Linked DNA regions of Xenopus tropicalis. The protein of the gene in region 3 purifies or fractionates together with the protein of the main gene of each other region. This does not show direct contact. Links are inferred from orthologs where the notes say so. Each region holds a gene or a part of one and is shown on either strand. Other genes may lie near its edges. The genes, in order: nbr1, gskip, gsk3a, prune1 and axin1.

Region 1 (6,204 bases), on a different chromosome or scaffold from region 3:
ATATGGTCCAGTGATTAATGCAAACATGCAGCATTCGCCTAAGGACTCCATATGTAAGTCAACCAAACCAATACTGGAATGCAAAATATCCACTAACCTGTGGGAAGTGTCTTCTGTTGGTTTCCAACATCCACATTCTTATGTTCTACAGGTTTTGAGAAACTGGATGCAGAGGAACTCTGGGTCAAAGTCTTTTCATGCTTTATGCTGTAGTCACGATTTGTATGAGCCAAAGACTGCAGGGAACCTGGTAACGCACAGGATAGTTTGGTTGGCTAATTTGGTCTTTTATGTGAAACTGGCCTTAGCATGGCTGTAAGACAATCATTTTGCTTATCTAAATACATTCAACAACAATGATACCTCATTTGTATAGGTTTTAACAAAGAACATAGTTAGTATTTCTGGACAGCCTGCCCATCCCCCCACCTGAATTGCACCTGTTAACAGTATCAGACAGGCGTATCCAGGGCCCACCACTCAGCCACCTCTGCCTGCCCCCTTTCCACCAGACCACTCTGCACCACACATTTATGTACATGACCAGCGTTAATCAGGCTGTACCTCTTTTATTTAAATGTAAGATGGCCCTGCATTCACAGTTGAAGACACAGCCATCTTTAATTTGTTTAAGTTTTTCTGAGTTTGGCTGGTTTGTGGGCAGACAGCAGGGTTCAACAGGATGGGAGCCCAACAGGTTTTTTCCCAATGGCCCAGTCTAACCCTGCCTGTTAGTTGCCTCTAAAATCCACCTGTTATGCTTTCATTCTCCTTTAAAGCCAGAATGATTAATAATAGCAACAGCCAATATATACTGCCATCAACTAAACTGGTAAAGGGGATGGAAGATTTAAGCTATAAGGTTAGACTGTCAAGGTCGGGGTTGTTTTCTCTGGAAAAGAGGCGCTTGCGAGGGGACATGATTACTCTGTACAAATACATTAGAGGGGAATATAGATAGGGGGTGTTCTTTTTTCCCATAAAAACGATCAGCGCACCAGAGGTGACCCCTTTAGATTAGAGGAACGGAGCTTCCATTTGAAGCAGCGTAGGTGGTTTTTCACGGTGAGGGCAGTGAGGTTGTGGAATGCCCTTCCTAGAGATGTGGTTATGGCAGATTCTGTTAATGCCTTTAAGAGGGGCCTGGATGAGTTCTTGAACAAGCAGAATATCCAAGGCTATTGTGATACTAAAATCTACAGTTAGTATTAGTGGTTGTGTATATAGTTTATGTATGTAAGTGTATAGATAGGTAAGTATAAGTTGTGTGTGCTGGGTTTACTTGGATGGGTTGAACTTGAAGGACTCTGGTCTTTTTTCAACCCTATGTAACTATGTAACTATGTACTTATCACAGCAACCCCGAACACATGCTGTTGTTGATCAGTTTGGCCAAAACATGCTGTTTAGTAAAAGAGTTCACAAGAAGGATCTGGTCATGTCTATATAACCATCTTAAGAAAGAATGCAAAGCACCAAACCCACTAGCTGCCAAGAGCCCTTCCAATACTGCTTGGGTCATTCTGCATATTAGGATTTTGTTTCGGATTTAAGTGAATTCCAGTGCTTTTTGCTGGACCCAAACAAACATGAATCGCAAAAGTCATGTGACCTAGCTGACAAATGAATGCAACTATTTTATGTTCATATGTGAGGCAATTTTGTTAAAGAAAATGTCAAGTTTTAATATGCATATTCTCCACTGAAAGAACATTTCAAGTTTTAATATGCAAAGTCCCCACTGAATAATGGTATGGCTTAATATGACCCACATTATTCAGATCCTATTACTTTTTGAAAAAGAATATGAGATGCAGGTTTCACTGAGTATGAGATCCTATATCCAGAAACCCAAGGGATGCCTATCTCCCACCATCAGGCCTCTATGACCTTTACAGTATTGTATCAACATGGAACCCACTGTGGGGCGAGGGCTTCCTTTGAGGTAGGTTGTAATCCGGGGCTGCATCTAGCGTGAGACTGCGTATTACTGTTTCACACACAAACTGGGTTCCGCTGATTTCTTCTTCATCCTGTGCCGCAGTGTTTTCTTTGTTATCGAGAAACTTACTTAGTCCTGAAAAAAAAGGAGCCATATAAAACACACATTGATGTTTCTATAGACTACATTATCACATATGTCTGTCTGCTGGGCATCACTACATCACTGAAACTACCCAGCACAGACATACAGTACCTACAAAAAGTACTACGTTGTATTTATAGCTAGGAAATGGGTCACCAGGCTCTGGAAATGCCCTGACCCTCCAACATATGACCAATGGCATGAGTTAGTTGAGGATTTGAATAAAATAGAAAAGGCCGCATACAAAAGAAATGGAAATCACAAAAAATATGAAAAAGTATGGAATAAGTGGAATATAGCTATAAGTGAATGACCACGCTAAAAATGTACAGTAAAATAGGCTACTGTAAAAACCATACAAAACTGTACTTAATATGTCTGTTATTCTGGAAACATTGATCCTATACCCTCGCAATTTACTCTGTTACCAAGCTATGTACCATCTTTTTCATGTATCAATGCTAAACCAAATGTATGATTTTTCTATGTTCACCCTTTAATAAACTCACCTGAGTGAAAAAAAAAAAAGGGCCTGTGTCTTCAGAGGGCACCAATACCAAAATGTTGGAGATGGGGCTCATTTATAAAGACTCAGCAAATTTGCACAAGGGCAGTAACTTATAGTAACTTATCAGTGAATGGCTTCTTTTTAGGCAGCTGCAGGTTGAACAATAAAAGTAAACTTTTTGTTGCCATGGGTTACCGCCCAGATGCAAATCTGCCCAGCCTTTATAAATAAGCCTGTGCCTTAGCTGGAATAGAACCTAGCAAGGCAGCAATACTAACCACTGCATCACTGAGTGTGTAACTCAGCATCACTGCAAACAGATAAGCAGTTTTGGCCCACTCATGGAAAAACTATGCTACTAAACCGATATCACATAAATTCATTATATATACATTTATTATCCAATACATTTGTTCACAGGAAAATCTTTCCTGTGGCCACAACCAACCTTTGGTGAAGAGCTCCAGTGGCCACATGATCATATCATCAACATATATCAACATATATTTATATATTGTCTCAGTTATATGCAAGGCCTTACTATTATCTGTCTTTTGCAAAGTCATTTTACTCTCTTCAACTGTTTGTCCCAAACCTGTATTCTCAATTAATGGTCCATCGTGTGTCAGAGGAGACATGCACGGAGTCATATCTAGAAAGAAAAACTGGATCAGTATATAAGATATTAAAGGCTTATAAAAGCAAGTTTAAAGACCTAAAGAAGTTCAGAGTTGTTCCATCATTAAAACATTGTTGGTATAATGGTGAGCATGCTAATAACCAAAACCATACAAATAATGTGTCTGTTTCTGTGTATGATTGACAACAACCATTACAACCAGAAAATATTCTCTTCTATTCAGGTGCATACATACTAGCTGCAAGAAAACATGAAGCGAGATAATATTAGTTCTACTGGAATCCAAATACTGCCTTTGCATAATGAAAGGATATCTTATTTCCAATATGCATCCATTAAGCTAAACAACAATGGCTTGTTGGGGGGGTGAGATATGATAAATATTTAAACAGACCACATAATAATCTCTCATATCCTTCCAAAGAATTTATGGCTGAAAGTGGAAGGAAGGAAATTTCTGAAATTGGAAGAAAGGAAGATTTTTTTTTACCAGGCACAGACTACCAATCTGTGGATTTTAGCAAATGCTAGAGGGGCTGCTGTCAGATGGGAGCTGTTTGGGCATCTTTGTACTTGGAATGCCAGGGCCTATTTTGAATCCCAGTCAAGACCTGGCATTTTAAACTACACTGAGGCTACCACCACAGGCCCAATAAATAGCAACTGTCTATGGAATCTTATAGCAGCCCCTCTGGCATTTGCCAGATTAGGTGAAGATGGTGCAATTTATGCTGAGACAAGTTTTGTACTTTTGAATACTTCTTAGTGCCCTTGGATTTAAGCTGCCCTCTAAGTCCTGTATGCACGCTGCTGCTTAAGATCAGGCAAAAGCAAACTGCAGCTCTTTTGCCATTGTTGTGGAATACGGGCCACACTTTTGTAAACCCGGATGAGACATACCTGTTGCAAGCTATTAGCCTACCTCCCACCACCACCATGCCACTGTGTTTTTGTTTACTTCTACTCTTAATACATACAAAGTCTTTAAAGTGCACTCACCAATGGGAGTATTATGAGGAACATGTTCCAGTTCTTGGACAATGTTTATATCCAGCAACTCAAATGAAAGCAAATCCTAAACAAAAGAATAAAGGTGAACTCATCCCTTAAAGGACAAGGAAAAATTAATATAAATTAAAAGTAAGTCTAAAGGCATTCTTTTTAAGTATTTACTGCATATCTAAATTCCCAGATATCTGCTTGCTTCTCTGAGATATGGTGCTGGCAGCCTACAGCAGTGTGAAGACTACAGTGACATCACTGAAATCTCTCACCCCTTCCTGTAGGCTGGGGGGGGGGGGGGGGAGGGAATGAAACACATGTGCAGTATGAAGCAAGGAGGGAAAGGAAGGGAGAATACCTTTTTAAAGATGGCTGCCTGTTCAAGAAAACAGATAGAAAATGTGAACTAAAGTGTGACTGAGTAAATATTTAATTAGGTGAGCCAAAAGTGTGTTTTGTAAACTCTGCACCTTTATAAACTGTAAGAATAAAAGGTGAAAGTAAGAAGAAAACTGGTTATAACTAGGTGAAATTAATACCATTGCCTCCAACCCCACCAAGAAGGGACAGTTTTTTACCTGAGCAGTAAGAAGATCCACAGATGGAATGTACAGCTGTCTGTCACAGTTCATATTCCTGATTGGCTCAGGAGTGGGGGCCCTGGCCACGTCTTGGATCAGCAAGTATCCATTCTGTTGCTGAGTAAATACAGTGGGTTGCATCCTATTAAAGGTCAATATTTAATAAGGTCTGTGATTATTTTAGAAATTACAATGTAAAAAAAGTATAGTTGGAATGTAGTTCAAAATTATTATAAAAAATAATTATACCCTCAGGGACTATGGCCCATATATGGTGGACCTGTCCACAAGCAACTAGATATTGGATTTGGGAATATAACTTTGCAGTCCTAAACGTTAACCTGTGAAGAGACCCATATGTCGCATTAATGGGAGCACCAGCTCAAGGGCTGACAAATACACAAAGGAGATAAATTAACTAGATATTTCTGGCTGCAAGACAAGTTCTAGCAAGATCTTGGAAATCCCTTACTATAAATTATAACCTATTTAAGCCCAAAATCGACTGGATATTTATAAATGAAAAGTTGACAATAGCGCACACCATGGATAGACTATAGATTCGGAGGGACTCACCCTACTCACCTATTATCTACTTAACAAAGTAGTAGGCAAGTGTTCCTAAATTGAACTATGTTTAATAATATATTCCTCTGTTATTACTTAACCTTTTTTATTTATTCCCTTTATTGAAATATAAATGTAATTTTATCTCAATATCAATGATAACTTGTATCCACATGATAACATTATCTAACTGTTATACAAATATACAACTCGATTTATGAAATGTTTATTTTGTTACTATAAAACAATAAAAAAATTATAAAAAAAAAAATTATACCTTGTAATGCCAATGATTTCAAGTATACTACAGAGCTGCCATAATAGAAGGTATCAGTATTATATACTTGCCCCAATCCCCCTGGAAGATAGGTCTTTCACTGCAGGGTCCAGAATATCATTACATGCTATGGTATCCACAATGATGCTGCACCAAACTCGAGGTCCAAAGTGTTCTCCCTTATGGGACAGGCGCCAGTGGGAGGTGTAGGTCCCCTCCAGTGCCGGGGCAATAAAGTCTACAGACAAAACTCCCACCTCATTAGGGTGCAGGGAAGGGACTGGAGCTTCCTTGCATGAAGGGGGTGCTAATGTCAGGTTTCCCCACATGAACGTCAGCTGTGGAAAGTAACCCAGTCAGTATGGAGATATTATGCACTGCTACTGTTTGCAAAATTAAGAAAAAGGGTGGGGGTCTAACAAAGAAGTAATATACACAGGTAGGTTCAATGTTCAACAGGCACAGTTTTCCATACAAGCCCAGTTTCTTGGGCTGTTCTTACAGACAGACGTCCACTGACCCATTATTTTATATATATAGCAA
Region 2 (6,724 bases), on a different chromosome or scaffold from region 3:
AGTCAACAGTATACCGTCCCCTGCTATTTAGTAATTACGCTAGGCTAATGTTACAGATGGATTTTTTTTTCTGTAGACCAAAAAAAAAAAACTGTAGTTTGTAAACAGCAACACTTTGGGGAAAGCGTCCGAATGCGTTTTTTTCGTAATGATCGATAGTTTTGCGATTTTTTCAGCGCCGCTGTGATTGTTCCGTATTTTGCACGACTTTTTAGTCACCGTTACAACTTTATCGTATATTTTCCGCAACTTTTTCGTCGCTGTCGCGAAAAATTCGGATTGGTTTTTCCGCCGTTTACAATTGCTCAATCCGAAAAAATCGCAACGGCGACGAAAAAATTGCGCAAAATGCAAAACAATCGTGACGGCGACAAAAAAAAAATCACAACATTTTCGTTTCCAATCCGGAATTCGGATTCGAGGCTTAGTAAATGTGCCCCTTTGTATATACTTCATCCTGTAACAATGCAAATGGAAACTAAGCAAGTACAGGGGATTTAAGTCAAAATAATACATGTGGTAAACTTACATCCATTAACACGAATATATATACCTACAGTGATATAAATTTAGCATCTGGTATAATGGCTATAAATCCAAATAAGTAGACTGACAAATTCCTATTATTATATGTTATATATCTTGCTGTACTATTAAAACCACAAATTATTCCTTTTTAACACAAATGAACGCACGAGCATGCCAAAGTATTCAGGACTCAAGAAATGTTGCTATATGTATGCAAGATTAAATCATTACAAAATGCATGGCAGTCTAAAGAAAGGACAGCATCATGCAACAGTAATCACCCAAAATTACAGTTTAATTCAAGATTAGGTGTCACTTCTGCAATACAGCAACATTATTGTAACACTTTGCTAGAGCAAGCTCAATAGAAACAGCAAATATGCAAAATATTTCCATAGAAGATAAGATCAGGGCACATAAACCTGCAGCAAATTATATGATTTGAGATTCCAACCAAAGATTAAAAACCATCCCTAACAGCTAGATTGAAGACTGTATTGTATGTATATATATATCCGAAACAGAAAACACTACGGTGGGTGCTGCAATGAGATGTTAAACTGAATGAGATGTTAAAAATAAATTAAAACTTGTGTATAAACATGGTTTTATATTAATAGGCAGATTTCTAAAGGAATCACTTATGACTGTCCATCTCTTTTCAGTGCTTCCAATCTCTGCAGAAGTGCATTTCCAAAGGCCTCCCGGTATGCTGGACTGAGAGAGTCCAATAAAGAGTAGACAGTCTCATGGTACTGGCTACACAGTCCTTCAGCAAGATGGTCAAATGCATAACCAGCCACCTGGAATAAAAAATGTAAAGACAATATTAGAATAAGATGAGCAGCAAAATAATACTTTTATTATTTTTACATTGTGTGCATTCACAATTAACCTTCTTTTTGAGTCAACACCATAGCCAGATTGATATCTGCCAGTGCCCCAGATACATCCCCCATGCCTAACCCCTAAAATACACATGTCTGGACATGTGCCAGTTAAGCCAATAACCTCATCCGCGAAATACTTCACAAAACTTAGATACAAGTATCCGGTGGCAGGCTGGGGTATTTAAAAAAAATTAAAAAATTGTTTTTGACATATCCTTTATAGAATAAGCCCATTTTTATTAAATTATTAATTTCATAAATGGACAAAAACTGCATTTTAAAAGGGATACTCATTTTAAAGGGAAAGGAAAGCCAAACTAAACATTCCCCTTTTAGGCTCAATCTGGATATTGGTGTACACCTTTTTTGTGGTAATACTTGTCTTCAAATTGCTTGTAAGTGGGCAAAGTGTAAGCCTTGGCTAACACCACTCCCCGCTCCTGCCTTGGTTGCCAATCGGAGCATAAGCATTAAATTCCTAGCTTGCTCAGTCTGGACTTTGTTTCGGGCAGGAGCATTTTGATAATGCACAATGGTAGGCAATGCAGGCCAGAAGGAGGACTGCACAATGCATATATGACAACTTACTACTTAAGAAAATGTCTAGCTATTTTATTTAAAATTTTTATATATATATATATATATATATATATATATATATATATATATATATATATATAAAGACTGAAACGCTGGATTTAATAAACCAAAAACTTTTCTCTATTATTGAACGTGTGTGCATAATTCCTATGAGTGCTGTGTCACTTGTACAAAATACATTTTGATTCCTGCACAAGCACCCAGGTATCAACTCTGGTTTATGGTGTGCTGCTTACTTGCTCCCTACACACACAGGGTTTCATACAAATGTATATAAAATGATATTTATTGAGAAAAAATAAAAAAAATAAACATAGCAAGCCTCAACATTTCAGTCCCCACTGGGACTTTCATCAGGAGGCAAAAACTGAAGCACTGAAACTGTACGTTTTTAGGGAGATCTGTGAATTTTCCTATTTTCCTATATTTTCTATTTTAAGCTTATTTTCACAATGGTGTAAAAAAATTATAGATTTAACTGTAGGAAGCAATGACCTGGAGAATTTAAAACCAATAAAACATAGTTGAGTAGTGATGGGCAAATTCGCTCATCACTATAGTTGAGTTGTGCTGAGACCATCTAGAATATGTAGCACAATGTACACATTTTCATATGTTGTACTCCTTCAAAACACTTACCCTTAACCCAGCATCAGTAAGTTCCAGGCAGTATCTGGTTCCTTCCTTTATCTCAACATTGATGTATGCAACATCCACAGCACATGGTAGAGTTTTTGAGACAAACATGTTGCCAACAGCAAACAGTACATCATTTACAATAGCTTCAGCCTCTAAACACATATCCTTTACATCAGTTCCTTCCAAATCTCTGAATTCAGACTCATCTTCATAAACAGTGTTAACTGGCAAATCCATTGGGTTGTAGTCGACCTCCATTTTCTAAAAAACAAACAAACAAAGTAGTTAAGGGAAATAGGATTAGACTAAATTAACAGTCAAAAAAGTCTGCACCAAAAACTGTATTTAAAAAAAAAAAAAATATTAATCTGCTTTGATAAGGTATTTCTGTACATACAAAAAATTAATAAAAAGAGAAGTGTGCCTTTAAGGTATTCTTTTGGTCAATTCTTCCAGTACTTTCTCCTGCTGTCAATGGAAAGCAGCCCATAGCTTTTCCACAAAAATCTGATTGCTACTACAACAAAGCAGCTTTTGTGCCATATGCCTTTAAATCATATCATACTTAAACTATTCATACACCTAAAGATCTGCTTGTTTGGCAAGAGTTTTCCCCTTTATGCCCATCTTAAGCAGGGTGCTGTCAGGCTGATCTGATCATTTGGCCCTCGAGCCAATGATCAAATTATAAATATGCAGGCCATCAGAAGAGGACTGCATCAAAGGGCTGATCCTGTCCTTGCTAAGACAGCAAAATCAAGCCTGCTCGATTGCTATCAGGATTTTTAATCATATAATATTGCTCCTATATACAGCCAATAAGCTGCTGAGCTGGTGTGGAAGGACAGAGTATGGTCACCTTAAGTGATTTTTCAAGAGCAATATATATCTCCCCTGAAGGCTAACTGGCAATCATTTCTACTGAATTCAACCTGCAGTGATTCAGCGCCTGAGTTGGAGAGCCTCCAGACACAGAAAATGCTGACCATCACTATGCATTATGCCCACCATATTTTAAAATATCACTAAATCATTCATAAACAGGCATAAAACAAACACAGAGATACTAAAATGCATATTTTAATATTTAATGAATAATTCATGTGTAATGAATAATCAACAGGAGACATTCAAATTCAGGATAAAGCTCCCAAAGTGCGATTGCTTCTATCAAGTACAAGTATGGGATCCCTTATCTGGAAACCCATTATCCAGAAAGCTCCGAATTACGGAAAGCCCGTCTCCCATAGACTCCATTTTAATCAAATAATTCAGAATTTGAAAACTGATTTCCTTTTTCTCTGCAGTAATAAAGCAGTACATTGTAATTGATCCTAATAAGATATAAATATTCCTTTTTGGATGCAAAACAATCCTATTGGGTTTAATTAATGTTTTATTGATTTTTTAGTAGACTTAAGGTATGGAGATCCAAATTATGGATCCAAATTACGGAAAGACCTCTAATCCGCCATACCCTTGGTCCCGAGTATTCTGGATAACGGGTCCTATACCTGTAAAGTAAAGAAGTCAACGTTAGCAAACTAAATGCTTAAATATTGATCCTTCCTACACACAATTCACATGGTCTCTAATTTTCATACAAATTGCTGACACAATAGATTGTACAATAATTTGCTTAGCAGTTCATATTCAGGACCAATTCTCAGGGAGGACAGGCAACGTCCTGCATGAGTCGCAGTATCTCCCAGTATTTTTTTCATAACGAAAGCAAATCGCGATTCTCTGGGACATAAGAGCAATTGCTGAACTATAACCAGAATATTATTTTCCAGAGTCATGCAGCGCCTGTGTATAGAAGTAAGGCGCTACGCCCCTGTCTGACTGCGACTCCTGCCAGCCTAGTTTTCACACTTTTACCTGTAATTATTTGCGTTAAAGGAGATTAGTCTTATCACGCAGATTCCAAACTACAGTACAATCAATGCCTTCCGCAGCTCTGGTTAAACCTTTACTTCCTGTTCATGCCGATTGCCACATTCACAATCATTAAGTAACCGTGACCGGGCACGCTAGGACTGGAGTTCCCATTGTGTGCCAAATTAAAAAATGGCGTCCGTAGAACTGTGTTGTTCTCACAACCTGGAAGTGATGTCATTGTTTATGTCTCGATCCCTGAGACAAGCTGATACGGAGTTATGGGAGAGTGAGAAGGCAGCTTTTTGGAATTGTTAGGATTATAAGCTTGTTGTATTGCTGCCAGTATTGCACTGTTATCCTCCTACCGAAACCCGACTAATGGAAGGGCTGAATCTCCGCGGCAACACTGAGCATGGACTTCAGATACAGCTGATTAACGTGGCTTGAAGGCCTTTAATAGAAATACGCAATATTGTGTGACTTTGGCAATACCCAGTGTGTTGGGTGAATGGTTAAATGAATGACGAGTTTAAGATGGATAAGTAATGGTCAATAGTTATGCATGCGAATCAAACAGACAAGCTAAGTGTGTGCATGACATGTGCAGGTTGTGTATGTTAGTTCTGGGTACTTAAATTAGCACCTAAATTCTGCTTAGGGTGACAGAGTTAATAGGGCTGTGTGATCTCCCATTCAGTAGTAATCATGCCTTGGCCCTTCTCTGAGTCCATCAAGAAAAGGGCCTGCAGGTACCTGCTGCAACGATATCTAGGGCACTTTCTTCAGGAAAAACTCAGCCTGGAACAGCTCACTTTGGACTTGTATCAAGGCACTGGCTCTCTGTCACAAGTTCCCTTGGACAAATGGGTAAGCCATGTAAATGACAATGTCTGAAATGCATTGATTGAAAATGAATTATCTTTCTATAAACATGGTGTTATAACAGTGGCACATAGTAATCTTAACAGAGTTAAAGGGGAATGGCCATAGACATAAAAATGCACCCATACTGTTGTAGATGCTCAATATTTAATTGTCTTAAAGAGGTGATTTAGATTTTTTGGTATAGTTTTTGAGATAAATGGTGCATTCATGTAACATTTATTGCTACAAACAGCTCAACCATTCTGTTTGTTAGTGCATTGCAGTTTACTGGAATGACGTTGAAGAATTCACAAATAAATTGGTAAATATGTGTATGTAAAAGTATAATAAAGACTATTAGTGAAACACATTTCAGTAGCCGTGTGTTATCCCTGCTTGAGAGAACATACCAGTTTAGTTCTTTATTATTGTTTTTTTTTTTCCAGTTGAAAGTGTTTCTAAGGGTAAAGACACACACTGGGCTACTAGTAGCAGCTACTTTTTCAAGGCTACTGATCTCCAGAAAATACCCTGCCATAGACAATACTGAGAATTTCCTCTGCTAAAGCACACGTAGAGACAATTATCAGTAAATGGTCAGCATTGTCTTTTTTTAGTAGCCACGACAAGTAGCTGCTACTAGTAGCTCTGTGTGTCTTCACCCTTAGTACCTTCTTGTCTATTCAGTAGCCCTTAAGTTCACACATTATGTTTTGTCACATTTTTCTGATGAAGTAACAAGGAGTAAATACAGAGAACTGTCCAATGTCATCTCTTATCATTAGCATGGTACACCTTAACAGTTGTAATTGTCCTCTAATTTTGCTGAAGCTACTTTTCTTCTACCCATTCAACTTGCTGGTTTGACTTCTTCTTCATTTGTGTTCTGTTTTGATTGATGGCATGGTGCAGCAAGATCAAAGGTTCCCAGCAGGAAAAGGGTTAAATTGGCTTGGTTTATTGCCACTTAGACTGAACTAGCAAGCTTTCTAATATTTCAAGAAAGGGCTGTAGTTGCTTAAAGCACAAGCACAAGCACACACATTCTTTTACATTCCTCCAAATCAAAATTTAAGGTACTTTATCTAATAATGTTCTGAATCATTGTTTGAAAGTGTTAGATTGTGGAATGTATTGAATCAATGAGTACTCCACTGTCCAATACTTAAGGCAGATACCTAACTTCTTGTTAAATTCAGGTTTTTTTGCAAAATAAGCTCATATTATACTATTTTATGCCTCCCTCTTGATATTTTACTGCATTTACTGAAGTGTTTTTCAGCCCTATGGAAACTAAAGACATTACTTTTCAGCAATATATA
Region 3 (6,654 bases):
GCCAGCGGCAGCCTTCCTATTCTCTGAGCATGTGTGTAACTTGATCCTGTCTCCTGTTCTGAGCTACACATGCCCACCAGCCAATCAGAAGCGGATCTGGCAGAGGGGAGGGGGGGAGGGAATGAAACACATGTGCAGTATGAAGCAAGGAGGGAAAGGAAGGGAGAATACCTTTTTAGAGATGGCTGCCTGTTCTAGAAAATGCGAAGTAAGTGTGACTGAGTAAATATTTGATTAGGTGAGCCAAAAGTGTGGCGTTTTTACCAAACAATAGGAGGACTATTGGGCAGTATGCTTTTTAAATTTTGACTTGCATTCTCCTTTAAGCTGCAAGTCTCAGTTCCCCCAAGAGACCTGTTTAGCTTATAAGTTACAACTGTATCTAAGTGCAGGTGTTGAGTATTCTGGGCTCTTTGGCAAAAGCTACTTATATAATTAAGTTTGACAAACACTGTATCCAGGACTGTGGGAGCAGTACAATGTACTGCTGCCCAGCATTGGGAACACTGGTGTGTTTGCTTCAGAAACATTACTATAGTTTCTAGAAAATGCTGCTGTGTAGTCATGAGGGCAGCCATTCAAGCACAGGATACACAGTAGATAACAGATAAGCTGTGCATAATCCCATTGTGTACTATAGAGTTTATCCATTATCTGCTTTGTAACCTGTGTCTTTTCTCCTTTTTCAGCTTTGAATGGCTGCCGATGGCTAAACAGCAGCTTATTTATATAAACTATAGTAAAGTTTCAAACAAAGGCACCAGTTGTACCAGTGCAGGGCATCAGTACATTATAGTTTAATTACTTTGAAACACTTTCATTTTTTGGTGTTACTGTTCCTTTAAGGTTTGCGTTCAATGGAACCAGGGTGCCTAGCAAAACAGCCCACCAAACTTTACTGCCTGCAGGAAGGATTCCGTTGGCTGGTGCTCTTCTAGCATCTTCCAAAGCCAGACTTTGTATCGGACTCAGAAAATCAATTACTCCAGAGGGCACATTTCCACTGCTTGAGAGTGCACTGGTAGTTAGCTTCACAGCACCCCAGCAGATGAGTGGCACTGCAGACAATGTTAGGTTAATTCATCTTTGGGGTTTTGTTGGCAATCAATGTCCCATAAGAATAGTTCATGAGCTGCCATTGCTTTGGGAAACATTTTGGAAGTGAGCAGCAACAGTTACACGGACAAGCGACTTTAGATGGATTGCCCAGATACTTTTGGACACATTTTATTTTTATAAGGATTATTTCTCTTATAGGCAAATGCCCCAAACGGGTCAGATACTCAGTTTTAATAATGAAGAAGTTATCTAAAAAGTCAAAGTTTAGGGAGTGCTTACTGGCGATTCAATAAAAGCTCAATGGCTAGCACTACTAAATTGAAGCTCTATGATCAGTTCTGTGCACGATCTGCAAGCGGTTTGTATGTTCTCATCCTGCCTACGCAGGGTTTTCCCGGGTATCTTGCACCCCCCCCCCCCCCCCCACTCTAAATCCAGACCAGTTAGCTGGCTACTGATTAAATTGCCCATTGTGTAAATGTGACAATGACCCTACACTATAAAGGGCTCTGGCACACTGGGAGATTAGTCGCCAGCGACAAATTTCCCTGTTCGCGGGCGACTAATCTCCCCGAATAGCCATCCCACCAGCGAAAACTTTGCTAAAACTTAGTAAGGGCCACAGCCAGCCAGGGCACGTCCACATTCACAATAGTTTTAAATATGTCTCTTAGTGGTTAACAATTCCCACTCTACCCGTCAAGCTCATTCATGTACAAAAAGAACTCTGTTTATAGTATAGGCTATTTTTATACAACTCCTACATACATGGTCAGAACCAATAACTATAAAAAAAACATTTTAAAGTGCCTGTTTCACAGCATGGATCGCTAAGTAAATTCTAACTGGTCCGTTGCACAATTGTGTTTAATTGATGGGTGGACAAATGACCCACGAGAAACAGTTATGGGTTTGTATAAAGTAGCCACATGCAGGCCAACAGTTGCGCAATGTAGACTTAAACTGCCCTGCCATCTGCATGTGTGCGAGCTCTAAACAACCTGAAATTCCAACCATAATTTGCTTTAGGTCAATAAGATTCCAGTCAGACGTGCTGGAACTGTGCAACCAGTAACCCCATAAGCCTAACAACTAGTAAGTGCTAATTTGCCTTCAGAAGCAAACGGCAGCTTTAAATGTCGGACTGGCTTGATCACCTGGTGGGAAACCATCTCTTCTGCAGGCGCTGAATGTGCCCGACGATATCTTCCCCTTTATTTTCCTTTCAAATGATGTGTGTAAAACACATTACAAGCAGCGACCCCAGGAAATCACTTAAAAATGCCTCCTTCACCATTTTTGCCGATATCTCCCTTAGTCTCTTAATCCTAAAGGCTTCCATTTATAAATAACATTTTATACAATACAACAAAATAGCCTGTCTACAGAGATCCTATATTACCTCTTACAATTTTCAAGCCTAAAGCCACCTACTTTTTGGTGGATGCATGTGCATGGGATCTATGTAACGCAAATATCAGCTGACTTCACATGCCCACATTATGATCTGATTGTTAGCCTGGGACCAAACAGTCGGATCGCCCTCATTAGGCTATTGTGTTTGTGGCCAAATCTGATACGGTTCAGAGAAAAACCCAAATCAGCTAAAACCTCGCTCTAATATAATAAAGTAAGCATGCCTTTGCAAAAAGATCATTTAATAGGAGATAAAACTCACAGTCTCCGCTACATGGATAAACTTTTTGGCACCCCATAAAGTGTTACCCTTTCCATGTCTTTTTACTTTTGGCATCCTTCATAGCTTGGCTAAAGGTTGTAGACTAGCTTTTCTAATTTTCTTTCTTTCTTCAGCTTTACTCTCTACCTGTAACAAAGTTTTTATTATGATGCCTCTTCAAAGAAGGTATGTGCTGTACTGTTTGTACTACTAGAACAGTGGTTCCTAAACTGGGGGGGGGGAATGTTGGAGCACAAAGATGGGCTTGAACTGACAACCACCGTACCACTGAGTTATAGCTCAGCAATACTAAGTGAATAGTCTGATATCTGGCCTAAGATCGTCTAGATATTGATTAATATTAATACGATATTGAGTTAACATTAAAGTGTCCCTAGTCCCGAAGGCCTGTATGTCATCAATGTGACCCAATCCTGCCCACCTCAAGGCTGGCATTTGGGGAAAGAGTTGCTCATTCGGCAACCAACTTTACCTTTGTCCTGGTACCTTGGCTCTGGGTCACATTGTCACTGGCTGGAGTTTAAGGGTGACATTATACAATACATTTTCAGAGAAGACAGCAGATCCTGGACACAAGGGTAGATCAGTGGTCCCTGTATTATTTCAGTTCAGTTGGTCCAGCACTGGGCAAGACCCCCTCAATGCACAAGGTTACAGACATAGGGAAGGAGTGGGGTATCAGTAACAGTTTGGGGAATATGTAGGGCAGCAGTCACCCCAAATCTCCCTGTAAGTGACCTTCAGGCGGGGCTTTGTGGTGTAACAAACGAATATACAGTCTCCCCATATCCCACCCTAGCTGGCCTTCAGCCTGAGCCCCCTGCCCAAGCCATTACTCCATTGCTGCCCCAGAGCTTCGGAAGCTGTAGATGAGCAGATTCCCCTGTAGTGATAACAGGGAGATAGAATTACAGGACGCCCCACTTGAGAATGAAGTGTATTGTTGCCTTTCCCCAGCCCACCTGTACAGCAGGAAGCCACCATGGCGCTATATACTTACTCCCTATCTTCATAAAGGCCCCGGGCACGGACGCTCCGCCAGATGCAGCCGCGGAAGTCACGGGTCCTTTATTTGTCCCCGCTTGTACCTGCTCCACGAAGGCCTCGCCCCCGCCCCGGGCCCGGTTGGCGGCGCTCATACTGAGGAGCGACAAGTACAAGCGCTGAATGGTACCGGGCTAGGGAACCTTCCCTGCGGCCGCCGCCACCACACTCCTCAAAATCAGCCTCTCCGAAGTCCAGGCCGCGTCGTGCGGCTCTCTGGGAATCCGAGGCCCGCTCTGCCCCCCCAGTCACAGGCAATCCCAGGCAGGACTACAACTCCCAGCTTCCCACGCGGTGTCTGAGTCGTGGTAGTGCGCGCAAGGAACTATGGGATTCCAGCGTCACCTGATGCGGGGGTCCGGGGGGCGGAAACTACAACTACCACATGCCCCCGCGTTAGAGCAGAAGTGGCGTGAATGCCAGCCGTGCTAATGACGGAAACAGCTGCCTGTGGGTGGGGCTGGGGGCTACCTCATAACATTCACAGTGACCTGCTCATGTTTTCTGTCTCTTAGGCAATATGTATCTAGTATCGAACAATAACTAAAAGGCCCACTCTTCGGCAGCCGTCGAACTAGGGCCAGGAATACGGATGTGTGGGAGACTGGGACTCTAGTTGTAAATTGGGGCGGAAGTGAGTAAGCGCCATATGCGTTTTGGGCAACATATCGACTACTAGTTTATCAAAAAAGGGCGGATGTGGAAGAAATGCGCGGGAATTCAAAATAGACGTTCGTTAGGAATAGACTATATAAGAGGGATGTATTAAATAATGACTGAACTCTTACAGCAACCCCTCTGGTGTTTGCCAGAACCCACAGATTGCTAGTCTGGCCCTGCACCAATACCTTTCATGGAATCAATGCACAGTAAAAAAAAAAAAAAAATATATTATATATATATATAAATAAAGCTTGAAAGCCATAAGTACAACAACTGTAAAATGGTTCTAGTGTTTCACATATGCATTTCAGTCACAGTCATGTCAGTTATGCCACAGCTGCCAGCATCACACAATACACTGTTTTATGGCCTGTATTTTACGAAGTATTAATGGTACTCAATATCAATGTGATTTTCCATCAGGAGAGAACTCCACTATACAAAAAAATCATGGGCCCGGCAGCCATTGACTTGGCATTCTACTCAAAATCCACTCAGCAGGCAGCTGTAATTAGTCAATTGCAAGAGCAGTTTGGCACCATATTGGTGTTATCTCTATTGTATTTTCTGCAGACAGAGAAAATGCAAAAGGTGTCAACCCCCCTACAAATTATACATAGAAAAGACTAGGGGGATTATTTATTAACACTGCTATGGGCAACATCACCGATGACGTTTGTCTCCAATGACTCAGATCTTTGCTTTCTAACTTGTAGGTGTCCATTGAAATCTAATTGCTGAATGGTTGCTATGGGCAACATCACCAGTGATGTTTGTCTTTAATGTTAATAAATACACCCCTAGTCTGTATGGCCACAAATGCATACTTCACAACTGTCACAATTTTAATAGCACAGTCCCAGGTAAATTGGGACACTCCCAAAATTTGAGAATTGACACCTCTGGAAATGTCCCCCCATTTACCTTTGTATCATTTTCTGCCATTTAGTGCAGGAGATCAAAGTTTCTAAAACTAAACTAGATAAGTAGCTTTTGGCAGAGAGCCCAGAATATTCAACACCTGCACTTAGATACAATTATAACTAATAACATAAACTAGGTCTTTCAGGGGAACAGAGACTTGCAGGGAAATTTCACCTTCATTAGCAATATAGTAATAACACATAATGGAGACCTCAAAGCCCCCCAGAAATGTGTTCAAACTTTACATAACCTGCCAGATTTTGTAAAATGGGTGTGGTATTTAGGGAGTATGGTCACAAAATAGTCATGGTAAAAAAAAAAAATTACCCTGCACTATGACTTATTTTTTGTCCCCATTTACAATTTTCAAATTTTGGGAGTGTAAATGGGATCAAACGTGCAGCTGGACATTTTAAAAAGACATTTCCAGGGACAGACATTTCTTGGGAATGGGATAGAGTCTATAATTGCAGGGTCTTAAAAGGGTGCCTTTTCTGGAAACTTATAATAAAAAACCTTAATTGTCAGTATTAATAACATTGGCATCAAATACTATTTTTACTGGCTGGGTCAGTGAATCGCCAAGGTCCGGGGGAATCTCTGGATATTAAACAAGAAGGAAAGGTACAATCACCAGGGGGTTCGAAAATGTAAGGCACCCCCCAGTGACTGTAACTACTTATACCCTGGGCTGGCACTCCTGTAAGGAGAAAACTGCACCAGCCTGGGATGGCTGCAAGAGAGCAGTCCTATTCCTTCTCGTAGCTCACACATGCACAGTAGAGTGAAAAGCCAAACAAGAGAAGGAAGAGGATCACTTGTTTGCAGCTATCCCAGGCTGGTACGGTTTTCTTTTAACAGGGGCAACCAACCTCAGATATAAAGTAAGCAGTTACTGTCACTGGGGGGGGGGGGGTGCTTAACATTTTGGCACCCCTCAGTGATTTTACCTTTTTGTCTCCTTTTTCGATACAGGACCCCTCATCCGGAAACCCATTATCCAGATAGTTCCGAATTATAGAAAGGCCATCTCCTATAGATTGCATTTTCATCAAATAATTCACATTTTTAAATATGGTTTCCTTTTTCTCTGTAATAATAAAACAGTACCTTGTACTTCATCCCAACTAATATATAATTAACCCTTATTGGAGGCAAAATTATCCTATTGGGTTTAATTACTGTTTAATTAATTTTTTTAGCAGACTTAAGATAAGAGATCCGACTTAAAGTGGACCTGTCACCCAGACATGAAAATCTGTATA
Region 4 (6,322 bases), on a different chromosome or scaffold from region 3:
AGTGCAGCACATAAAAGCTTACTTTATATATATATATATATATGTTGAATAAAGTACCCCCTATTGTAAAATATAGGGATGTTATAAGTCACGAGGAGTTCCATGGCCATATAAAGGTTATTTGTGGCTCCTGTATATTATATAGTGAATAAAGTACCCCCTATTGTAACATATAGGGATATTATAAGTCACAGAGGCGTTCCATGGCCATATAAAGGGTATTTGTGGCTCTTGTATATTATATAGTGAATAAAGTACCCCCTATTGTAACATATAGGGATATTATAAGTCACAGAGGGGTTCCATGGCCATATAAAGGTTATTTGTGGCTCTTGTATATTATATAGTGAATAAAGTACCCCCTATTGTAACATATAGGGATATTATAAGTCACAGAGGGGTTCCATGGCCATATAAAGGTTATTTGTGGCTCCTGTATATTATATAGTGAATAAAGTACCCCCTATTGTAACATATAGGGATATTATAAGTCACAGAGGGGTTCCATGGCCATATAAAGGTTATTTGTGGCTCTTGTATATTATATAGTGAATAAAGTACCCCCTATTGTAACATATAGGGATATTATAAGTCACAGAGGGGTTCCATGGCCATATAAAGGTTATTTGTGGCTCCTGTATATTATATAGTGAATAAAGTACCCCCTATTGTAACATATAGGGATATTATAAGGCACAGAGGGGTTCCATGGCCATATAAAGGTTATTTGTGGCTCCTGTATATTATATAGTGAATAAAGTATCCCCTATTGTAACATATAGGGATATTATAAGTCACAGAGGGGTTCCATTGCCATATAAAGGTTATTTGTGGCTCCTGTATATTATATAGTGAATAAAGTACCCCCTATTGTAACATATAGGGATATTATAAGTCACAGAGGGGTTCCATGGCCATATAAAGGTACGAGGCTGAAGGCTGAGTGCTTTTATACAGGTCATGGAACTCTGAGGTACTTTTCAACAAGGGTACTTTATTTGCTATAATACACAAGTTTCAGTGAGTCATGTGACAGAAATGACATCACTAAACTCAGATTATAACTGATGGCATCACTAAGCACTGTTTATAAGGATATAATTTACAGTTTGGTCTCATAGGGAAATGACCAAACTGTAGATGATATAAATATATATATAAAAGAGAACCAATGTGAGGCTATAACACAGAATGAAGGGCTTTGGCAGCTGACTAGGGATTATGGGAAAAGCAGAAAAATGGCAGGTTAGGGCAAGGCAGAATCTGCAAGCACGAACAGAAACGCCTTTATAAAATGGGATACCCCTGCAACAGGAATCATGCCTTCTTCTGTTAGCTTATATAGGCTACCATATAGTACATGTAAAGGGAGGGGGGGGGGGGGGCGTGTTTTAGTGGGAGGAGCTCGTTGATAACACACGGACAGACATGAGGTAGGTCATACAATTGGCAAAACAGTACTCAAAAGAAAGGTTAACAGTCTGCGCGAGAGGACGGCTGCTTCCAATCCTTCCAGCGGTTGTGAACTACCGACGGCGTTCAGGGCATGCTGGGAGTTGTAGTATAGGTATATGGTACCCTTAATGCATTAGCTAGAATCACAATGTCCCTTATTAAAGGAGAATTTGGCATTTCCTACCTATTATTTCCGTTTCCTGTAGATAATAACATTTTATTGCTCTTCATTAAAAGGCAAAGCTAAGAAATCATCATTATTATTATTAATATTATTATTAATGCAATGGAATAAAAATGCTTATCTGGTCATTTCTTTTCGCCCCCTGATTGGCTCTCGGAATCTATAGCAGTTATATGGCTGAACCTTTCTAGAATGGCTTCCGCCGTCAGTTTTGGGAGACCCCTGTCGAGGGGGCAGCCTTCCACCAGACTGTTCATAGGCGTTGGGGGAAAGGAGCGCTCGTCCTCTAAGCCGTCGTCCAGTTGTGTCCTGTAAGTGCCAATAAATCCTTTGCTCCTTTGCTCTTCTCCAGGGCAACCATCTTGGCCTTCCGGCTGCTCCCCACAATCCCCAAACAACTCTCCGCCCTCCAAGTTGTCGTCGCCGGTCCTTTCCCTGAAGCCAGAGAAATCATTGGATGTCTCCGGGTTCTCCAAGGACTGCATGGATATCGGGGAGCTCTCCTCCAGGTCTCTCTTCCTCAGGAAATCTTTCAGGATGGGGAGGACCTTTTTGCGGGACGCAGCGGTGTTGCCTTGTTGGTAAGTGGTGGTACTGGGACACGGAGGGCAGGCTATGGCGGTCAGGTCGAGGGGTGGGTTGGTAGCTTGCTGCAAGGCTTTGCACACCTATAGGAAGCAGAAGTGTGTTACACTGGCACGCTGGTACACTGGCACATAAACAGGTATTGGGCACTTTGCCCCTAACTTACTATGTGATTCCCCATTGGTTGTTGTGGCACCTGTGATCACTCGTGCGAATGCGTGACAGCTGATTGGCACTTAAAATAAACATACCCATTACCTTTAAACAAGGCTCATCCTGCTTTATAAAAATCCACTACTCCCCACCACTCCACTTCTATGCCCTACCAACTGTACCCCAGAATACATGGCTGGATTAATACAGTGCCAATTTAATGTATAATAACCAAGAACCCACGGCAGGATAAATACAGTGCCAATTCCATGTATAATACCCCAGAACCAACAGCAGGATAAATACAGTGCCAATTCCATGTATAATACCCCAGAACCCACAGCAGGATAAATACAGCGCCAATTCCATGTATAATACCCCAGAACCCACAGCAGGATAAATACAGTGCCAATTCCATGTATAATATCCCAGAACCCACAGCAGGATAAATACAGTGCCAATTCCATGTATAATACCCCAGAACCCACAGCGGGATAAATACAGTGCCAATTCCATGTATAATACCCCAGAACCCACAGCGGGATAAATACAGTGCCAATTCCATGTATAATACCCCAGAACCCACAGCGGGATAAATACAGCGCCAATTCCATGTATAATACCCCAGAACCCACAGCAGGATAAATACAGCGCCAATTCCATGTATAATATCCCAGAACCCACAGCAGGATAAATACAGTGCCAATTCCATGTATAATACCCCAGAACCCACAGCGGGATAAATACAGCGCCAATTCCATGTATAATACCCCAGAACCCACAGCAGGATAAATACAGCGCCAATTCCATGTATAATATCCCAGAACCCACAGCAGGATAAATACAGTGCCAATTCCATGTATAATACCCCAGAACCCACAGCGGGATAAATACAGTGCCAATTCCATGTATAATACCCCAGAACCCACAGCGGGATAAATACAGTGCCAATTCCATGTATAATACCCCAGAACCCACAGCAGGATAAATACAGCGCCAATTCCATGTATAATACACCAGAACCCACAGCAGGATAAATACAGTGCCATATACATGTATAATACCCCAGAACCCACAGCAGGATAAATACAGTGCCAATTCCATGTATAATACCCCAGAACCCACAGCAGGATAAATACAGTGCCAATTCCATGTATAATACCCCAGAACCCACAGCAGGATAAATACAGCGCCAATTCCATGTATAATACCCCAGAACCCACAGCAGGATAAATACAGCGCCAATTCCATGTATAATACCCCAGAACCCACAGCAGGATAAATACAGTGCCAATTCCATGTATAATACCCCAGAACCCACAGCAGGATAAATACAGTGCCCAATTCCATGTATAATACCCCAGAACCCACAGCAGGATAAATACAGTGCCAATTCCATGTATAATACCCCAGAACCCACAGCAGGATAAATACAGTGCCAATTCCATGTATAATATCCCAGAACCCACAGCAGGATAAATACAGTGCCAATTCATGTATAATACCCCAGAACCCACAGCAGGATTAATACAGTGCCAATTCCATGTATAATACCCCAGAACCCACAGCAGGATAAATACAGTGCCAATTCCATGTATAATACCCCAGAACCCACAGCAGGATAAATACAGTGCCAATTCCATGTATAATACCCCAGAACCCACAGCAGGATAAATACAGCGCCAATTCATGTATAATACCCCAGAACCCACAGCAGGATAATACAGTGCCATTCCATGTATACCCAGACCCACAGCAAGATAAATACAGTGCCAATTCCATGTATAATACCCCAGAACCCACAGCAGGATAAATACAGTGCCAATTCCATGTATAATACCCAGAACCCACAGCAGGATAAATACAGTGCCAATTCCATGTATAATACCCCAGAACCCACAGCAGGATAAATACAGTGCCAATTCCATGTATAATACCCCAGAACCCACAGCGGGATAAATACAGTGCCAATTCCATGTATAATACCCCAGAACCCACAGCGGGATAAATACAGTGCCAATTCCATGTATAATACCCCAGAACCCACAGCAGGATAAATACAGTGCCAATTCCATGTATAATACCCCAGAACCCACAGCAGGATAAATACAGTGCCAATTCCATGTATAATACCCCAGAACCCACAGCAGGATAAATACAGTGCCAGTTCCATGTATAATACCCCAGAACCCACAGCAGGATAAATACAGTGCCAATTCCATGTATAATACCCCAGAACCCACAGCAGGATAAATACAGTGCCAATTCCATGTATAATACCCCAGAACACACAGCAGGATAAATCCCAGTGGCACAGCAGAACGCAGTGCTAGTACCAGGAAAGAACAGGAAATAAATACCAAATACGTAGAAAATGTAAGGAATACAAGTGAAGCATAAAACTGCCCATAGACAGGGTAAATCATACATTAGAAATATACCCCCGTCAGGGTGATTTTCAGCGCTACTACCCAGAGATCCTGCTACAAAATACACTACTGGGTCTGTAGGGATTTGGTTACTTTTAGCTTCGTTAATTCCAATTCAATTACCAAAACTAAGATTAAAGGACAAGTAAAGTCCCAGTTTCTGCGCTTTTAGACATAATTTACCAAGATAAGCTCTGTGCAATACAGCGGATTTGTTTGTTGACAAACTAAAGAACCTGAGGTCCCAGATGCAGAACCGGCAAGTAACGCCGGCACCGTGAAAACCTGAAATCCCATAGAAAGCCTAACTGGCCGGTCGTATGTTTCCTGGTGACCAATAAGAAAAAACATGTTGAAAAGCCACAAGCAACACAGCTCCCTTCCCTGTATCTGAGAATATACTGCAGGTAGTGAATGGGTTAATGGCAGGAGCGATATGGATCATAAACAAATTGCCAAAATGGGGGTAAATCACCTAAATAGTGTAAAATAGAGCAGTGACAGTCTGGGTAACATTAACCCCTAGCTCCCCAGGGCCCCAAATGGCCGATGAGATGTTGCTCCTTACCCGCGCCAACTGCCCGACCCGATTGCTCCTTGATTACTGGGATCTGCCCCGGGGCGAGATCACGTTTCTCAGGCACTAGACTTTAAACCGCAGGCCAAGTTAATCAGTGACAGGATCAGAGGGACTTTAAAGGAACATTTACACCAACACTTTCCTTTTACTGCCTGCTAAAGGGCCCAGAGCAGGGATTGGCAGGCAGCAGCTCTCCTGATGTAGTTGAACTACAACCTACTATATAGTCCATATATCCCTATCACTTTATACAGTATATAATACTGTACCTAGCAGAATGGAATACACGGTGCAGCTGTGAGTCTGTACAGTGTCCTGCCAGCCATGCAGTTGGTCCCTATGAAGGTAGTGTGGGTGCTCACTAAGCACAGCAGGGTGCAAAATGGCTTTGCGCTTTCAGAGTCCAGTCACCCTCAGGTTCGTTACACAGCTCTTCCTTGAAAGAAGTCTATATAGAGAGCGCCACCTAGTGTTGTGTTTGTTCCTTAATAAAGCAGATTCCATTGATTTCATTGGCCACTTATTTCCCTTTAAAGGAAAACTATACCCCCAGAATGAATACTGATAGTTTATATTATGTTAAGTGGCCTATTAAAGAATCTCCCCAAACTGGAATATATATATCAGTAAATATTGCCCTTTTACATCCTTTCCCTTGAGCCGCCATTTTGTGATGGCTGTGTGCTCCCTCAGAGATCAGCTGACAGGAAGTGATGCAGCTCTGTGTAACAGGAAGTAGTGTGGGAGTAAAAGGCAGAACTCTGCCCATTCATTGGCTGATGGGGCCTAGCATGTATGTGTGCCTTGGCTTGTTTGTGTGCACTGTGAATTATATGATCCCAGGGGGCGGCCCTTAGTAATTAGTACCTAAGTTCCACACTAGGGGGCGCTCCCCTCCACTGACGACCCCTGAAATAAAGTGTAGGCCACCTAGGA
Region 5 (6,204 bases), on a different chromosome or scaffold from region 3:
CCTTAATTAACTCTCTGACATATATTTCCCCCCAGCGTACATATCATATGCCAAAGGATATTCACGTCGATCCAGAAAAATTTGCTGCTGAACTTATTAGTCGCTTGGAGGGGGTCCTGAGAGACCGCGAAGCAGAACAGAAGCTTGAAGAGCGGCTTAAGCGCGTCCGAGCCGTAAGTACCGATTGCTTTATCTCTGATCACACTACAAGTTGTTATTATTATTATTATTATTAACATTTATTTATAAATCGCCAACATATTCCGCAGCGTTGTACAATAAGTGGGTTTCATACATTGGACATACAGAGTAACATATAAAGCAATCAATAACCGATACAAGAGCAAAAGAGCTTACAATCTATTGTTTTTGTTTTCAGTTGCTAAATTGCATCAGTTAAGTCAGCCCTATGTTGGGCAGCAGAGAAGCATTAGGCACATACATAATGGCCTAATAGCAATGGTATTCATGCCATTTCCGGGCCTTAGTTGCTTGAACACTTAAGGCTGAAACTGCCCTCCACTGCTTTCTATGGCACCTAAAAGCCCTTGTCGTATGTCAAGTTTAACCTTTTATGTATAAATAAAGCCTTCTTAACTCTTAAGGTGGCCATACATGGGCCGATTCTAGCTGCCAATATTGGTCCTTTAGACCGATTCGGCAGCTTGTCTGTCCGTGTATGGGCATGAATGGCGGGTCTGCCCGACTGACATCTGACGGGAAAATGGGCAGATCTCAATTGGCCAGGTTTCAATTTTCCGTCTGATCAGGGGATTGCATCGACTTGTTGATGCGATCCCCAGATCCGACGGAAAATTCAAACCTGACCAATTGAGATCTGCCCGTTTTCTGGGCACATGTCAGTCCGGCAGACCCGTCATTCGTCCCTGGATCCGATGGAAAAATCATACTGATGGCACCTATACCCGCTGTTTTAATTTGACCATTTGGCCTTAGGGCCAAAGACTGAATTAACCCAATATTGCCCACCTGTAGGTGTTTAAGGTTTAAAAACCTTAAATAGCACAAAGTATTTGGCAAAACACAGAAAAAAGGCATGGCATTGACTGAAAATTCTGAGCATGTATTGACCTGAAGGTGTCAGGGCAGTTACCTTTATTGTCAATGCAGAGGGTTTTGCCACATGTTTTGCAAGCTTCAAATAATGCACTTTGCTTAGTGAATGGCTGCGGTGACAGCATGAATACTTTCTAAGAGGCCGGTGTTTGTAGTAGATTTGATCTGTGTCGCGGTTTTCAACCCAAATTTATTTTTCCCTTTATAGGAAGAAGAAGGGGACGATGGGGATGTCTCCTCTGGACCTTCGATTATTAGCCACAAGTTGCCTTCAGGCCCGCCGATGCATCACTATAATTCACGCTATTCTGACATGGGATGCGTCGGAATGCAAGTCCGAGACGCCCATGAGGAAAATCCGGAATCTATTCTCGATGAGCACGTGCAGCGCGTCATGAAAACCCCAGGCTGCCAGTCTCCTGGGACCGGACGTCATTCCCCAAAACCCCGCTCCCCAGATGGCCATGTAAGCAAGACCCTTCCCGGGTCTCTGGGAACAATGCAAACGGGACATGGAAAGCATACGTCCAAGTCCGGCTCAAAAGTAGACTCTGGTAACATGCATCATCACAAGCACGTCTACCACCACGTCCATCACCATGGCGGGGTTAAACCAAAAGAGCAGATAGAGGCGGAAGCAACACAGCGAGTACAGACCAACTTCCCTTGGAATGTAGAGTCTCATAACTATGCAACCAAATCGCGCAATTATGCAGAGAGCATGGGTATGGCTCCCAATCCTATGGATTCTTTGGCTTACAGGTAACTAAAGGCAAAATTGTTATCTGTTTATATTTCACAGGTCTGTTAGATCCCTAAAAATGAAAATGTATAGCAAATTGTTAAATAACCTTTGCCAGAAGACCTCTCCATTCAACAAACTCCCCCTTCTCTGTAAGCTTAAGACACAAACAGTAACTGGATGAAGGATGAGGAATAGGCAGGAGTAGCTAGCAGCCATAAAGCAGTAACCTGTCTGTCTTCCACAGTGGCAAAGTCAGCATGCTTTCAAAAAGGAACGCTAAAAAGGCAGATTTAGGCAAGAGCGAAAGTGCCAGCTATGAGATGCCTGTTGTCCCTGAGGATGCAGAGAGACACCAGAAGATCTTACAGTGGATAATGGAGGGAGAGAAGGAAATAAGCAGACACAAGAAAAGTAACCACAGGTGAGTGCAAACCGGTTTATTCGCATACAGAATGCTGCCTTTTGGCTGGTGTGGGTGGCGGTACCATATAGTAACATAGTAAGTTAGGTTGAAAAAAGACATACGTCCGTCACGTTCAACCATAATAATAATAATATGGGGCCTTGTAACCATATGCAAGTCATTTTCTCCTGCATGTTTAGTCAAACATGATCCAGCCAGTAACATATGTGATTTTGAGTGTTTAGCCTCTTGAAAGAGGGGTTCGCCTTTCAATGAACTTTTACTATGATGTAGAGCAGGGGACCCCAACCTTTCTTACTCATGAGCCACAGTCAAATGTAGAAAGACTTGGGCAGCAACACAAGCACCATAAAAGTTCATGGAGGAGCCAAATAAGGGCTGTAATTGGCTATTAGGGGCCTCTATGCACACTATCAGCTTACAGGGGGCTTTATTCAACCAAAACTTGCCCCCAAGTCAGGAATTCAAAAATAACTCCCTGGTTTGGGGGCACTGAGAGCAACATCCAAGGGGTTGGGGAGCAACATGTTGCCCCCGAGCCACTGGTTGGGGATCCCTGGTGTAGAGAGTGCTATCCTGAGGCAATCTGCAATTGGGCTTCATTTTTAATTATCTGCAGTTTTTGAAACATTTAGCTTTTTGTTCAGCAGCTCTCCAGTTTGGAATTTCAGCAGCTATCTGGCTGCTAGGGTCCAATTTAATCCAACAATCAGGCAGTGGTTTAAAAGAGAGACAGGAATATAAATAGGAGAGGGCCTAAATAGAAAGTTAAGTAATACAAATTAACCATAACAATAAAATTGTAGCCTCACAGAGCAATAGTTTTTGGCTGCCGGGGTCAGTGACCCCCATTTGAAAGCTGGAAAGAGGCAGAAGAGGATGACAAATAATTCAAAAATTATAAAGAATAAAATATGAAAACATGCTAAGAATAGGCCATTCTATAACATACTGAAGGGGAACCACCCCTTTAACTTTTAGTATGTTATATATTTTTAATTGGCCTTTATTTTTTCTTTCTTTAAGTTACTGAATTATTTGCTTTCCACTTCCTTTCCAGGTTTCAAATGGGGGTCACTGACCCCATCAGCCAAAACAACAAATGTGCTGTAAGGCTATAATTGTAATGTTATTACAACTTTGTATTACCCATCTTTCTATTCAGGCGTGCTCCTGTTCATATTCCGTGCTCTTGTTTAAATCAATACCTCGTTGCTAGGGTAATATGAACCCTAACAACCAGGTAGCTGCTGAAATCCTGAACTGGATAACAGTTGAATAAAAAACGCAGTAACTCGAAAACCACAAATAATAAAATAGGAAGACCAATTACCAATTGTCTTAGAATATCACTCTCTACATTATACTAAAAGTTAATCTTAAGGCCCCTTTTGAATAAAAATTATTTTGCAGTTCTAGTCAGCCTACCTGTTGGATATTTCGCCATTTTTGAGAAAGATATTAATGAGGCAGGTTAGAAAATCCCATAGGGGGTTGAACACATTGTTGATGTGATCCTTTCCCATTGGTACTACCTAGGCCTGGGCTGCAAAAGGATCCACATTTTTGCTAAGCTTAATTTCATTGGCTGTGGGGTGCACATACTAAGTACCGATATTCATGCATAGCAACTGCTTCTTAAATTGCTTTGGGGTGACATATCTCATTTTGGGGTTACAGCTCCTCTGGTGCCAAGAAGCAGCCTCCTTCCGAATTGCCCAGACCACTTTCTATCGAGCGTCCCGGTGCCGTTCATCCTTGGGTCAGCGCTCAGCTCCGCAACGTGGTACAGCCTTCCCATCCCTTCATCCAAGACCCTACCATGCCCCCCAACCCTGCCCCTAATCCTCTGACGCAGCTGGAAGAAGCGAGGAGACGTCTCGAGGAAGAGGAGAAAAGAGCGGGGAAGATGCCGCAGAAACAAAGGTACCGGGGTCACACACACTATTGTTGTTTTTTGTGTTGGGGAGCGCTTTCATTCCTCCAGCCTTTATGAGAATGATGGTGAGATGCGGAGCATGTTTATTTGCTGCAGGAACTCTCTCAGGGTGGTGAAGTTGCAGCCATATATCTGTAACCATATGAGTGCACATACAGCTACAGGGGGTGCTTGCAGTAGTTGAACAGCAGCAGGTTGGGCAGTGTGGCTACACAAGGGTTACTATGACCACTTGATACCATTCCTACCTACCTGTACGGGCTGAGAGCAGTCACCCCCCTCTGAAGGCAGCTCAGGCCTTGTGTTTAGCTGGAGGCTCACTCCTAATTACAGCGTGCCCCTCCGGCTATGTGTCTGAAGGGACCTCGCTGCACTTGTCAGTAAGGACACAGCTGGACTGGAACTGTCCTTTAGCCGCAGGTAGGAACGCTGCTTCATTTTATTTATATTAAATGAGATAAGCTGTTGCGTCCCTGTGAAATGCCATATAAAAGGGAACGTTCTCTGGATGTAAGGGAACTAGCTGATCCCTCTTAGCACCAGTCTGTTGGTGCCATGGGACACCCATTATAGGAGCTCTCGCTTGTAAGTAGCTCATTATCCTTACGCTTTGGAGGCTATGCCAGGCAGTGGGGGGTTTGTGCTCGACAGCAGCCGACTCGCAGGGAGCCAAACTACTGCTTGTGCGCAGCTTTTAAACACATTAAAATTTCATATGGCTTTCCAAGCATTGCTGAAATTCAAAGTTACAATCTTTACTTTCAGAAATCAGAATATTTTCCTCCCACCCTTTTCCCCCTTATCCTGATAATGACGTTCAACTCATAAAAAAAAATCCAGTTACAGAGTTTATAGGTAGTGCCACACTTGGCTGTGTTTCGGATGGCTAAAATATGCAGGCCGGAAAACAGCCTGCCCACTTGTGCTTCTCTCCACACTTGAAATCTCCTCCATGATTCTTCTCCCGGGCCAGTGCAGAATGGAATGGCTGTTTCTCTGCCTGCATTTATACACAAAACCGATTATAGTTTATGGTAAAACTGTAGATTACAGGCAGTGGCATTGTATCCCAGAATTGTCATGTTTAAACCCCTAGTTTCATTGATTATCTCTGGAGAACCCACCTTGTGTCCCAAGGCACAGGCAGCAGCCCCCTTACTCAGCGCTACCCATATCCTCAGTAGCCCATTTAGGGCTTGTCGTGTTTACAGATATGCATTGTATTGACAAAATGACAGGGAAACCCTGTGTGTGGAAATCCCCAGGTCTCGAGCATAATAGTTCCCATAACTGTGTCTCTTGGTGCATCCAGTGAGTAAATAGTGGAAGCAAATTAGCTTTCCTCATAGCAGCCTCTGTGATTTATGTATTTTGTTCAAATATTTTCCCTCATAAAAGTGCAGGGGCCTTTGTGGGGCATACTCAGCGTGCCTAAGGGTAGGTGGTCCTCTCCTGCCTTCTGTAGGTGCCCAGTTGGGATGCCCTATGTAGGCTTTCAGTGGGGACGCTGACCAAAGGTTAGCCCTTCAGTGGGGACGCTGGCCAAAGGTTAGCCCTTCAGTGGGGACGCTGGCCAAAGGTTAGCCCTTCAGTGGGGACCCTGACCAAAGGTTAGCCCTTCAGTGGGGACCCTGACCAAAGGTTAGCCCTTCAGTGGGGACGCTGACCAAAGGTTAGCCCTTCAGTGGGGACGCTGACCAAAGGTTAGCCCTTCAGTGGGGACGCTGACCAAAGGTTAGCCCTTCAGTGGGGACGCTGACCAAAGGTTAGCCCTTCAGTGGGGACGCTGACCAAAGGTTAGCCCTTCAGTGGGGACGCTGAGCCAGTGTTGCTTTACCCACTGAGCTGCTGATTCGCAGGGTCCCCCATTAGCCCAATGGGTATTGGAGCAGATAAAAGCTGTATCCGTGCCTTTGCTTCCCCTTAGTTTGGCCACAGAACAAGCGTTGGCTCATGGGGCATATGATATAATTTCTAATATGTCAGGTTGTTCTCTAGGTATGTTCAAGAGGTTATCCA

The links.
Region 1: the proteins of gsk3a (region 3) and nbr1 purify together in Homo sapiens (affinity purification with western blotting; 3 studies listed by BioGRID and IntAct, with this or other methods). This does not show direct contact. The link is inferred for Xenopus tropicalis from reciprocal best matches to the Homo sapiens genes GSK3A and NBR1.
Region 2: the proteins of gsk3a (region 3) and gskip purify together in Homo sapiens (affinity purification with mass spectrometry; 7 studies listed by BioGRID and IntAct, with this or other methods). This does not show direct contact. The link is inferred for Xenopus tropicalis from reciprocal best matches to the Homo sapiens genes GSK3A and GSKIP.
Region 4: the proteins of gsk3a (region 3) and prune1 purify together in Homo sapiens (affinity purification with mass spectrometry; 3 studies listed by BioGRID and IntAct, with this or other methods). This does not show direct contact. The link is inferred for Xenopus tropicalis from reciprocal best matches to the Homo sapiens genes GSK3A and PRUNE1.
Region 5: the proteins of gsk3a (region 3) and axin1 purify together in Homo sapiens (affinity purification with mass spectrometry; 12 studies listed by BioGRID and IntAct, with this or other methods). This does not show direct contact. The link is inferred for Xenopus tropicalis from reciprocal best matches to the Homo sapiens genes GSK3A and AXIN1.

Annotation. Positions count from the first base shown.
Region 1 is NC_030686.2:19,637,921-19,644,124, reverse strand, and holds part of nbr1 (next to BRCA1 gene 1 protein), read right to left. Parts: intron 6,000-6,204; coding exon 5,733-5,999; intron 4,935-5,732; coding exon 4,815-4,934; intron 4,310-4,814; coding exon 4,234-4,309; intron 3,247-4,233; coding exon 3,136-3,246; intron 2,078-3,135; coding exon 1,922-2,077; intron 248-1,921; coding exon 98-247; intron 1-97. UniProt on the Homo sapiens protein: Ubiquitin-binding autophagy adapter that participates in different processes including host defense or intracellular homeostasis.
Region 2 is NC_030684.2:89,148,128-89,154,851, reverse strand, and holds the start of gskip (GSK3-beta interaction protein), read right to left. Parts: upstream 4,638-6,724; 5' UTR 4,539-4,637; intron 4,172-4,538; exon of another isoform or gene 4,135-4,171; intron 2,919-4,134; 5' UTR 2,916-2,918; coding exon 2,658-2,915; intron 1,332-2,657; coding exon 1,170-1,331; 3' UTR 1-1,169. Other genes in the region: atg2b (autophagy-related protein 2 homolog B), read left to right, coding at 5,244-5,405. UniProt on the Homo sapiens protein: A-kinase anchoring protein for GSK3B and PKA that regulates or facilitates their kinase activity towards their targets.
Region 3 is NC_030683.2:107,337,298-107,343,951, forward strand, and holds the start of gsk3a (glycogen synthase kinase-3 alpha), read right to left. Parts: upstream 4,422-6,654; 5' UTR 3,898-4,421; coding exon 3,759-3,897; intron 1-3,758. UniProt on the Homo sapiens protein: Constitutively active protein kinase that acts as a negative regulator in the hormonal control of glucose homeostasis, Wnt signaling and regulation of transcription factors and microtubules, by phosphorylating and inactivating glycogen synthase (GYS1 or GYS2), CTNNB1/beta-catenin, APC and AXIN1.
Region 4 is NC_030684.2:138,308,341-138,314,662, forward strand, and holds the end of prune1 (exopolyphosphatase PRUNE1), read right to left. Parts: intron 2,308-6,322; coding exon 1,765-2,307; 3' UTR 1,657-1,764; downstream 1-1,656. UniProt on the Homo sapiens protein: Phosphodiesterase (PDE) that has higher activity toward cAMP than cGMP, as substrate. Plays a role in cell proliferation, migration and differentiation, and acts as a negative regulator of NME1. Plays a role in the regulation of neurogenesis.
Region 5 is NC_030685.2:15,078,908-15,085,111, reverse strand, and holds part of axin1 (axin-1), read left to right. Parts: intron 1-35; coding exon 36-173; intron 174-1,285; coding exon 1,286-1,839; intron 1,840-2,066; coding exon 2,067-2,243; intron 2,244-3,926; coding exon 3,927-4,172; intron 4,173-6,183; coding exon 6,184-6,204. UniProt on the Homo sapiens protein: Component of the beta-catenin destruction complex required for regulating CTNNB1 levels through phosphorylation and ubiquitination, and modulating Wnt-signaling.